Linked DNA regions of Danio rerio. The protein of the gene in region 3 interacts with the protein of the main gene of each other region in a pairwise test. Links are inferred from orthologs where the notes say so. Each region holds a gene or a part of one and is shown on either strand. Other genes may lie near its edges.

Region 1 (3,660 bases), on a different chromosome or scaffold from region 3:
TAATACACATTTGACGATCTTATTTTACAATGATTTACTAAAGATGCCCATTTCAATGGTGCTAACAGTTTCTAAACAAAATAAACAAACAATATGACTGTTTTTAGAGAATCATTTGATGACATTAAAGAATACTATTTAATGATCACCAGAAAGAAGTTCATAATCCTTTCAACAGTTATCACTTATTCTGCAATGCATTGTCATAAACATCAAAATAAATATAACGATTAATTTTTCATGTAAATATACCCATTACACTGAATGGCGATGAAGTGTTATTTTCACCCATATGCTAAGCTTTTATTTGCACAAAAGTTATTTGAAACATTAAAGTAATTATAATTGGCTTTTGGCGGCATAGTGGCTCAGTGGTTAGCACTGTCACCTCACAGCAAGAAGGTCACTGGTTCAAGTCCCAGCTGGTCCAGCTGGCATTTCTGTGTGGAGTTTGCATTGTCTCCCCACGTTCACGTGGGTTTATTTCAGGTGCTCCGGTTTCCCCCACAGTCTAAAGACATGCGGTATAGGTGAATTGAATGAACTAAATTGGTTGTAGTGTATGAGTGCGTGTGAATATAAGAGTGTTTCCCAGTACTGGGTTGCAGCTGGAAGGGCATCCACTGCATAAAACAAATGCAGAAAAAGTTGGCGGTTCATTCCTCTGTGGTGACCCCAGATAAACAAGGGACTAAGCTGAAGGAAAATGAATGAATTGACTTATTATCCCTTATTCCTATCATTATACTGAGTGACGCTAGTGGAGGCTCAACACACACTGGGAACTAATTTAACTAATTAATCATCAAAACAACTCACTACAGTGCAAATTATAAACATGTATCATCTTGCTTACTGGTGAAAACTTCACATAGTAAAAATGTTACTCTCATTTCTTAATCAGTACAATATGTTACCCTAGCAGCAAAACAATAAAAAAGAAGACTTTATCAAACTATAAAGAGGAATGTAATGACACAAAACAGAAACAGACACACTACACAAGTTGCAGAAGGGTGTGGCAGAGAATCCAACAGACATTTCCCAAGCACACACAACACACCCACATTCACACCTCACATACCTGCTCCACTGAGCAACAGACATGGCATGCGTGTGGTTTTAGTGTTGTTGTTTTTATGAAATCATTTCTACTTTGGTGAGAATATCAAACCCAAATCCCAAGGTTTAGAACTACAGGGATTATTTGTTTAAAGCCATGATAATAATTTAAATTAAATAAATTTCATTTTAATTTAAGAACACATCAAACAGAGTAAAGCTCTGAGCTGTCAGCCTCAGTGACAGGAGCAATAAGCAGATGTGCAGTGTAGAAAACTGCCGTCATGGTTCAGCTAAATTTAGCCAGGGACTAGGCTGAGAGCCCAGGGGCAGGGGATAGACACCGTCCTGCTCTTTAGGGTTAAACTTACAGTATCTCTAGGATGTGTGAAAGAAATCTCAGAGAGCAACAGAGGACAAGCACTTGCATTAGCCACTGTCTGCAGCTTTTGAGTGTTTTATGGATCAGTAAGCCACACACCGTTCTGAAACTAATCCTAGTGGAAATACTGTTGGTTCCAGGGTGGAATGAGTCACAGTAATTGCCACTCATGTAACTGCAACTTTAAACTGCAGACTGGTTTACTGGTTTGACTGGCTTGCTGGTTTTAAGAGACTTTTCATTCAAATTTAATTTATTCAATATTTGAATAATTGTTCATACATGACCAAGTGTAAGCTTGTCCGATATTGATTCTTCCCTGTAAAAAACGATTAGTCACCTTACATAAAAAGTAAGCACAATGACTTAAGTGCCTTGTTGCAACTTAAGGCAACTTATCTTTATATTTTTATAATAATACACATGGTTCATTTACCCAATCATTTTATGAAAACATGTTAACTGATTTTTTAAAGTCAACAAATCCCTTAAAATTATTTGTTTACTTTTGATCACTTTTTAACCAAAGTCAACTAATGGCTGTAAAAGCAACAGGTTTTCTAATGTTTTTAAAGGCAAATAACCACTTTAAACGGAACCAGTTTACTTTATTGTTATAAGCAAAGTCAACTAATTGCTTTAAAAGCATCAGGTTTACTAACACTTTTAAAGTAAAGTCAACTAATCGCTTTTACAGTGTCGTTCAGGCTCAAGCTTGTCCTTTATCTTCTTGAATTCTTTGTTGGCTATGCAACTGTGCTGTTTTCTAGACTTGCATATAACATTATTTCATCTTAAAGTTAGCTGTTGGCTTACTCCACCTATGGGCAACAAGAAAAATATGTGATGTATGCCGTGAAGCAGATCGTACTGTTCTGCTCATAGACGTTTCTATATTCGCTTATGTTTCTGCTGGCAGGGGATGGTTGAGGCAGTGTGTACTGTGTATTGACTCCATTACCTAAACTTGCATGTGTGGTTTTAGAGACAGGTTAGCAGAACATGGTAGATCTACACAGAAATGCCAACTGACCCAGCCAAGGCTCTAACCAGTGACCTTCTTGTTGTGAGGAGAGCATGCGACCCACTGCACCACCGCGTCGCCTATCATATCAATATTTCTGGGAATTTATTTCAATAATAATAAAACATTTTGATAAGTACAACAACAACAAAAACAAAAACAACAGTATTTGGTGCCAATAACCCTCTCATAATTAGTTACTATTCATTGAATCATTCATTCAAATGATTTGTTCAAAACTGCTAGTTTATTTAGAAACAAATCCAGTGACTTCCTTTATATATGGATCAATTAATCAATTACACACAAGTCAAACAAAAACAGATGGATTGAAAAATTACAAATATTCTGCTCCATGGCTCGCAAAATCTAGTAGCCCAAAGTCCCAAAGCTATTGTTTTTTTTTTCAGTCAGGCTACCAAAATCCATCTACACTGTGCCCAGTGGGTTATCTAGTGGGCATGGTGTAGATCAAATTTGGTAGCCCCACTGAAAAAACAATAGCCCCGAGACTTAGGGCAACTAAATTTTGTGAGCCCTGTGTTCCTGCATAGTTTGAATATATTTTCATCAACAATATAAAAAAGCTTTTAATAATGTGTCTAAAATGTAAGTTTTATGTAATAAATCATTACTGAAATTCAGAAAAATAGCATGCTTGTTTTTGTGATATCATTACATTGTATCCTATAAATACTGAAAACAAAACTCCATATAGGGATAACATTCAACTTTCTAATAGCCTTCATACTCTTACTAATATCAATGTATAAAACTTTTACATAAAAAAAAAATGAACACATACCTGGCCTTCAGCTCCTTGTAGTCCTCACGCACTTTGCTGAGCTCCAGTTGCAGTCTGGCTCGTTCTTTGGCCACCGAGTCCAGTGTTTTCCTGGCATCTGCGAGTTCAGCCTCGTACGCCGCTTTCATGCCACTCAGCTCCCGGCTGATCTCCGTCTCGGATTCAGTGATGCGCATACGCAGACCTGCGTTCTCCACCTCCAGAGAGCGAACCTTATCGATGTAGACCGCCAGACGGTCATTCAGGTTGCTCAAGTCCTCCTTTTCCTGCAATCGAGAGATGCGGGTAGGGGACAGGACATTGGTCACCCCACCGCGGCTGCTTCGTTTCTGACCTGGAGTCTCCATGGTTGTCTGGAACTACTGATACTAGAATAGAATAGAATAG
Region 2 (4,424 bases), on a different chromosome or scaffold from region 3:
TATGTAAGCACTGAGCGAAGAGTGATTGGAGTGTGTATGTGTGTATTCTGGACACCGGACGTTCCAATCTGGGCCAGTTTTTGAGAAGTCATGTTACTTTTTAATTTATGGTCACAAAAAAGCAAAAATATACTAAATATTTGCAATAAACATAAAGTCGCCTAATAGAGAGTTTCACAGTGATCCCATAGAAGAAATATTTTTAGTCCAAAGATCTAAAAAGTAGATCAAAAAGACAATTCATTGGCATTGATGCTTCCATTAAACATTGTTTACATCGTCAACATAAGGTTCTTTTTAGCGGAAATGGTTTTTAACAGTACAGTAAAGGCATTTCACACACACATAAATGATTCCTTTTGGAACTCTTTACTGAAAAGTTGTTTTCAGTAATTTTGTATATGGGAGACGTTCCCATGTACAGAAGTTTGCATCAGCTGGTAAAGACCTTCAACCCACCTAGGTAGGTGTGGCTTTAACACTACTCTGAATTTAATTTCCTCTGTTTAATCCATCATTGTCAGACAAACACAAGTAAAATCAAGCACTAAAGAGCAGTTTTATAGTGGATACTAGGGCTGGGCGATAAAATTGATATCGATATTTATTGACGGAACCACCATTGTCAATATCGATAAAAAAACGATTTAGAATTATTTAGTTCCGGTATAAAGCACTATAGTTTTATTAAAAGTGGCTGATGAACGTGTGCCTTGGAAACAGTGCCAATAAGTTTAGGGTGAAAGTTTGTCATTTCCAATGAAGTCGCGCGACTTGAGCGACGCGCCCATGTTGTGCAGGTGGTGCACACATACACATGTGAACCGTGCACATTTTTGAGCCGCATCTACAGTAGTTAAAAACATTTGAACTTTTCTGAATGCTGAGAGCACACCGCCATTCATGCTAGTAGAATTAACCAATCTGCCTCACACTTTGTATGGAATATACACATTTCAGTAATAACGGCAGACTAATTACCTCAGACAAACACAGCGCAGCCAAACACTGCAGTGCTTTTTACTTTTCTCCATAAACTTGTTGCAGCAATGGTTTTTCTGCAACCATTCCAGATTCCAATTGGAACCAATTCCAGAAACCATGCGCGTGCACTTGTTACTTAAGGTTAGAATAACAACACATGCGAAAATGAGTGCCATATAGCAGCATTGAGGAGATTATAAACAATAAAAGATGTAAAGATGTCGCCAGAGTGGCTTTTTGGTTTCTTTTCTTGTGCATCCTAGCCACTAGCTCCCCATCTGAGACATGTTTTAGCGTAGGGGTAATGTAGCCATTTAAGTATTTAACAATTTGTATTGTTATAATATGTATTTAAATAATTTGAGTTTTACTGCATCATTATTATTGACATCTTACAGATGTTGTTCTACCTTTATCATTGCACACACTTTGTAGCATTTTATTCATCAAGTTTAGGAGTCTCTTTAACACTTATTTATTTTATTATAAAGAGATCAGAAATTTTGTTTAAATATTTTTGTTTTTGACTATTGAACATATTTGCCTTAGTAATGTTGGCAAATTAAAATAAAATGGTTTAAAAAAAAATCTAATATTCCTAAATGTATTTTGTAAGATAATTGTCAATATCAGATGATATGAAACATGATATTGTGATAATATGTTTTGCAATATCACCCAGCTCTAGTAGATACTGATGTTCTGAAAGTTACTGTAGATACTGAAAATATTAATGAGCAACACTGACACCTTTTCTCTATATAAACTTTGCTGTGATTGACTGGGGACACTTTCACATCAGTATTATCAGATGATTTCTGTACATTTGTTTGAATAATTTCAACAAATTTTAGGAAAGAGGAAAAATAGCGCCAAGCTATTTTGAATTTAAAGTTCTATTTTTTTTACTCCTAAAAGAATTGTAAAAAATGTTTTAGTATATATGAACCTGAAGTGTAGTTTCAAAACATTGAATTTCCACAAAATGGTCTCCACAAAACAAAACCAAACCGCTTAGTTGACTCCTGTAAATCAATCCACTCGCAAGGCCCTGCTTTCAAACAAACAAACCAGCCACAAAAACTTAACAAGCTCAACAAACACTCTTTACAGCAGATATAAATACCTATAGGTGACAAAAAACACAAAAGACGTCTCATTTATGTCTTCTAGAGGACAGTGATGTTAAAATGAGAGTAAACTGAGACTTTTGTTTACGCCTCATGCTGCTTATATGGTTTTCCTGTGGGAATCTCACATGTCTCTCTCTGGAGAACCAGAAAAGAGCACAATATTTGACAAGATACCAACGTTTGTAACAGTCTTACTGTCTTAATTTTGTCTTCATTACTTCAAACATTTTAAAGGAGACATCTGGTGACAAACTTAAATGAAGCACAACAGAGTTCACTATTGTATCTTTGTATCTCTGATAAATCAAAACAAAAGCCCAACTTACTCAGCCCCCAAAATAACACAGTATCATTAACATTCTCGCACAGCAGAAAGCACTAACAGTGCTGCTAAAACTTCAAAGAGCGTCTTCTCACCCCAAACCCTATCAGCTTTAAGAAAGTTAATCATTCATTTCACATCACTTCAAAGCTCCCGTGAGCTGCAGTGGTAATCTGAACTCTCGTGCATTCGCAGGCTGCAATAAATCCAGTGGTGTTGCTGACATACCCATAGTGCTCTGCATGGCTGCCTCCTCGCGTCTCCCCAGCCTGTCCTGGAGGTACAATCCCAGTCAGTTCACTGTACTTCTGCTGCTTCTCCTCTCTGTATCACTTTGCTTCTCTCCTACATGCTCATTCTCCGTGCTCCTCCTCCTCATGCCAAAGTTTGCTCTCTTTTCTCTGGCAGAAACCCCCTTCCTCTGTGTCCCGTCCTCTGCTGTTTGCCGCCAGCACCGCCCCCTTCTCCTGCTACCCTCCTCCCATTCGCACTTTGTCTGTGGCCCCTTCCTCCTCCACCACCCCCATCCTCACACACATTTAATCCCTCCTCATACTTGCTCCCTTTTTTCCCCTTGTCTTTCTTCTACCTTTTGCTGTTCTTCATCTCTGACCACGACAGTGTCTGTGGAAAATGGACGACTGCTGTGCAGTTTTTAAGTCTGACATTCAGTGGCTACTTTAAACTTACTGGGCAGGCTGTATCATATTTGATAAGAAGATTTGAAGGGTTCTAAATTGTCAGTGTAATCAAAACTTTGTTGGATAACTCTAGTGTACAATTGACTATATGCCTTCTGTTGTCTTCTTGACAGTTGTGTAATAAGTTTAAGGTCCTTTAGAGTCATTTCTGAAAATTTCCCTTATCAGGACAGGTTGTGGTTTATTTGTCTTTATGTCACATCTTTAAATGATGGTATGGTATGGTATTAGAGGAGTAGCCTTGGATTGGATAATTAGTTATTTAAAAAATAGGCAACAGTTTGTGGAAATTGGCAACCATAAATCATCATATTTAAATGCAAAGTGTGGCATACCACAAAGATCAGTTTTAGGTCCAATATTGTTTATAATTTACATTAATAATATGTGTAAGATTTCAGAGTTGTTTAAGCTTATTTTATTTGCAGATGATACAAGTATCATTTTGTTCTGGGCATAATTTACCAAAATTTATGGAGTTGATTAAAACAAATTAATAAATTGAAATTGTGGTTTGACGTAAACAAATTGTCATTAAATATAAGTAAAACAAAAGGTTTTGTTATCTGGGAAATTAAAAAGTAGACATAATATAGATTTCCAAATTGATAATAAAGTATTTAAGTATAGAGATTATGCAATTATGTTTGTTGGTTTTATATTGGATCATAAAATTAGTTGCGGAAACCGCAAATAAATAATGTAATATCAAAAATAGTAAAAACTGTAGCAATAGTGTAAAAAGCAAGATTTATACTGGACAATATATCAATGTATATATTATATAACACACTTATGTTGCCATATATGAGCTATTGTGTGGAAATTTGGGGGAATACATATACCCCAATATATATATATATATATATATATATATATATATATATATATATATATATATATATATATATTCCCCAATATAATATATATTTACTTACAATCCTTATGTACAATGCAGAAAAAAGTAATTAGACTGATAGAAAATGTGGGGTATTTGGAGCATACAAATCCTTTATTTTTTTAAATTGAAAATACTTAAGTTCAATGATTTGGTTGAATTTAAAACAGCACAATTAATGTTTAAAGCTGGGAATAAAATACTTCCTAAATGCATACAAAAGTTTTTTGAAGAAAGACAAGGGGGATATAATCTGAGAGAAAAACATAATAGGAGGTTGAAAACAAGGACAACTTTAAAAAGTTTGTGTATGTCTGTTTGTGGTGTGAAATTATGCAACATTCTGGAACAGATTTTCAAACAATGTCAGGATATTACTCAATTTT
Region 3 (2,896 bases):
ATAATAACAGCAATCTAGAGGCCTGAAAATAAGTTTCAAAGGGCATGTTTTTGGAAGTATTAGCATTATAAATTCTGTAAAATGAATGCATGTGTGCAGGTGAGTTGCTTTTCTATATAAAGTCACCTGACAACTACTGGTCTGGTATGAACACTATAATGCCTTCAGTCATTTTGTGGATCTGTGAGCATGAAGATAAATATCGCAGTCTGTACATGAAGCTTTTTGGGTGGTTTTTAGGCCAATTAAAGGCTTAAGAGATAATTAGGCAATTTGGGTTAATTAGGCAAGCATTTGACAACATTGGTTTGTTCTGTAGCCAATGGAGTACAATGATTTCCTAAGGGGGCTAATAATAATGGCCTTAAAAATAGTTTGAAAACAACTATAAACTGATTGTATTCCAGTCAAATTAAAATAATTAAGACTTTCTCAGGAAGAAAAAATTTTAAGGGAATACTGTTAATGTTTCTTGCTCTGTTACGCCCCATTCACACGGGGCTTCAGCATCAATGCTTGACTGAAGGCGTGTTTGAAGTTGGGGCTAACGCGATCGTCATAGCAGCGTCAGCCAATTAAATTCAGTCAGCAATAGGCCACTGTCTAGCTGGTGTATTCGCATACAGCGATCTGATTGGCTGACGCTTCCGTCAACGCTTGAAAAGTTAAGCTAGTCCCCACTTCTGCAGCGAGCAACGCCTCTGCAACGGCGCCGACGGATCCACAATGCAGTTTGGCAACGCCTGACATCACCCCATTCAAAGTGAATGGGAAGCCTTGACGCTGAAGCCCCGTGTGAATGGGGCGTTAAAGATAACTTGGAAAATACCTGAAAAATAATTGAAATTTCAGAGGAAATCTGATAAATATGCTACAAAAATCTTTTTAAATTGTACACAAAAGGGATTTTTTGACTTGCTGGTTTATTTGTGGATCATTTATACCTGTATGTGGGTGGACTCATGCTGTCGGAGTGGGCGGGGCTTGGAGTCAGTCTGTTTTCTAAGCCCTTTGGAGCTTTACTGCTGATAAAGGATTCACTCAGACCACATCCATGCAAAGTGGAAGAGTAGAGCTTTTCAGCAGCTCTCTTAGCATTCATCTGAGAAAACAAGAGACAGCCTTATATTATCTACCAAATTTGAGACTTTTCAAGTGCTCCGTCTCTCCTCAAGTCCCAAAGAAAAGCCTATAAATTGAAAACAACAAAATAAATTAGATATAATGTGCCTACCTGTGCTACTTGCTCCAGTAACAAAGGCCTTCCCTTTACTCTTTTCTGGATTTCTCTCATCTCGTCCTGATACTCTTTCTGTCTCTGGAGATCTTGTTTCCTGTTTATAAGCATATACAGTATATAGTGCGGAGCATAAATAAGTACAGCATCTTTTGCAAATTATTTGATCAGTTTCTTTGGGAATGTAGACAACATAGTTTGATGCATTTAAACAAAACAGTTATATTAAACAGTCACATTAATTAAAGTAAATTTGAACTACAACATAGTTTTTATGTTTCTTTTGATCGTTTTTTTTTTCGGTATTGCAATTTATTGTATATATTTCACTAGAAATTTCAATGGGGTGAACTAATTTTTATTGCATTTTATTATATTTTTAATCATATGTTGAAGGTGAATGCATACCTTGGCTCTAAGGGTCAAACAACAAAAAATGAGGTCACGAGTCTTGATGTGATTTTGGAGTCAGCATACTATCAAAGACGATAGAATACACAAGACAAGTCACTCGTATACTTTTGAATGAGGAATAGTGTAACTGTCAATATGGCGAATGAAGGCCCGCCTTCTAGTAGAGGAGCCAATCAGCGATTGCTATATTGAGAATAAAGCCCGCCTTCTAATACAGTAGCCAATCAGCAATCGCTATTGAATGACAATTCTCCAAGAAGGGGCTCGGACCAGATGTGAGTTTCTGCTGATTTGTGTGATACGAACATTTAGAAATGAAACTAAATAGACAGTCGTTGTTTTATTTCATTAGTTATTGGTAATGTTAAATGTAATTGTAATCTTGGCAAGTAGTTTTGGAGAATTTGTTGTTTCCCCATTTAAACAGAATGCCCGAGCATACTGCCCAAGAGGTGTTTCAAAGATGGCCGCAGAGTGAAATGACTTGCCTTAAAGGGACTTTGATACTATCATTGCACTTGATCCTATCACTCAAAAACATTGCAAGAATTAGATGCTTTGTTTCCAGTGAGGGCTTAGAGAAACTTGCTTTTATGACCAGCAGGGTGGATTACTCTAATGGACTCCTCACTGGCCTTCCCAAAAAGACAGTCAGACAGTTGCAGTTTATCCAGATTTACACATTTTAATCGGTTTCTTTTATTCTTATTTATGTAAAGCACTTTGAATTACAATTGTTTATGAAATGTGCTATAAAAATAAACTTGCCTTGCCTTACAGTGACTTAACTTACTATTAGGGCCAGAAAGAATCTGCAGACATTTTTTGGTATTTCTGCAAAGAATTTTGTAAAAAATCTGCCGATTTATGCGGAATTATTAAAGGAGTATCATAACTACAAAATTATTAATTTATGAATAAATAATCTATATTTGACTTTGACTTGATGTTTACAATGCAAATCAAGTTAGATCCACTTTTTTGGTAAACAAAGCAAGTCACTCATCTAATTCATTCATTCATTCATTTTCTTGTCAGCTTAGTCCTTTTATAAATCCGGGGTCTCCACAGCGGAAAGAACCGCCAACTTATCCAGCAAGTTTTTACGCAGCGGATGCCCTTCCAGCCGCAACCCATCTCTGGGAAACATCCACACACACACTCCTACACTGCGGACAATTTAGCCTACCCAATTCACCTGTACCGCATGTCTTTGGACTGTGGGGGAAACCGGAGCACCTGGAG

What was found.
Region 1: the proteins of fam161a (region 3) and lmna interact in binary tests that used the Homo sapiens proteins (3 or more experiments, as listed by UniProt). The link is inferred for Danio rerio from reciprocal best matches to the Homo sapiens genes FAM161A and LMNA.
Region 2: the proteins of fam161a (region 3) and lzts2a interact in binary tests that used the Homo sapiens proteins (3 or more experiments, as listed by UniProt). The two-hybrid records come from large-scale screens. The link is inferred for Danio rerio from reciprocal best matches to the Homo sapiens genes FAM161A and LZTS2.

What each region holds. Positions count from the first base shown.
Region 1 is NC_133191.1:33,779,758-33,783,417, forward strand, and holds part of lmna (lamin), read right to left. Parts: intron 3,642-3,660; 5' UTR 3,621-3,641; coding exon 3,274-3,620; intron 1-3,273.
Region 2 is NC_133188.1:20,794,878-20,799,301, forward strand, and holds the start of lzts2a (leucine zipper putative tumor suppressor 2a), read right to left. Parts: upstream 2,830-4,424; 5' UTR 2,668-2,829; intron 1-2,667. UniProt on the Homo sapiens protein: Negative regulator of katanin-mediated microtubule severing and release from the centrosome. Required for central spindle formation and the completion of cytokinesis.
Region 3 is NC_133176.1:57,133,186-57,136,081, forward strand, and holds part of fam161a (protein FAM161A), read right to left. Parts: intron 1,335-2,896; coding exon 1,235-1,334; intron 1,103-1,234; coding exon 945-1,102; intron 1-944. UniProt on the Homo sapiens protein: Involved in ciliogenesis.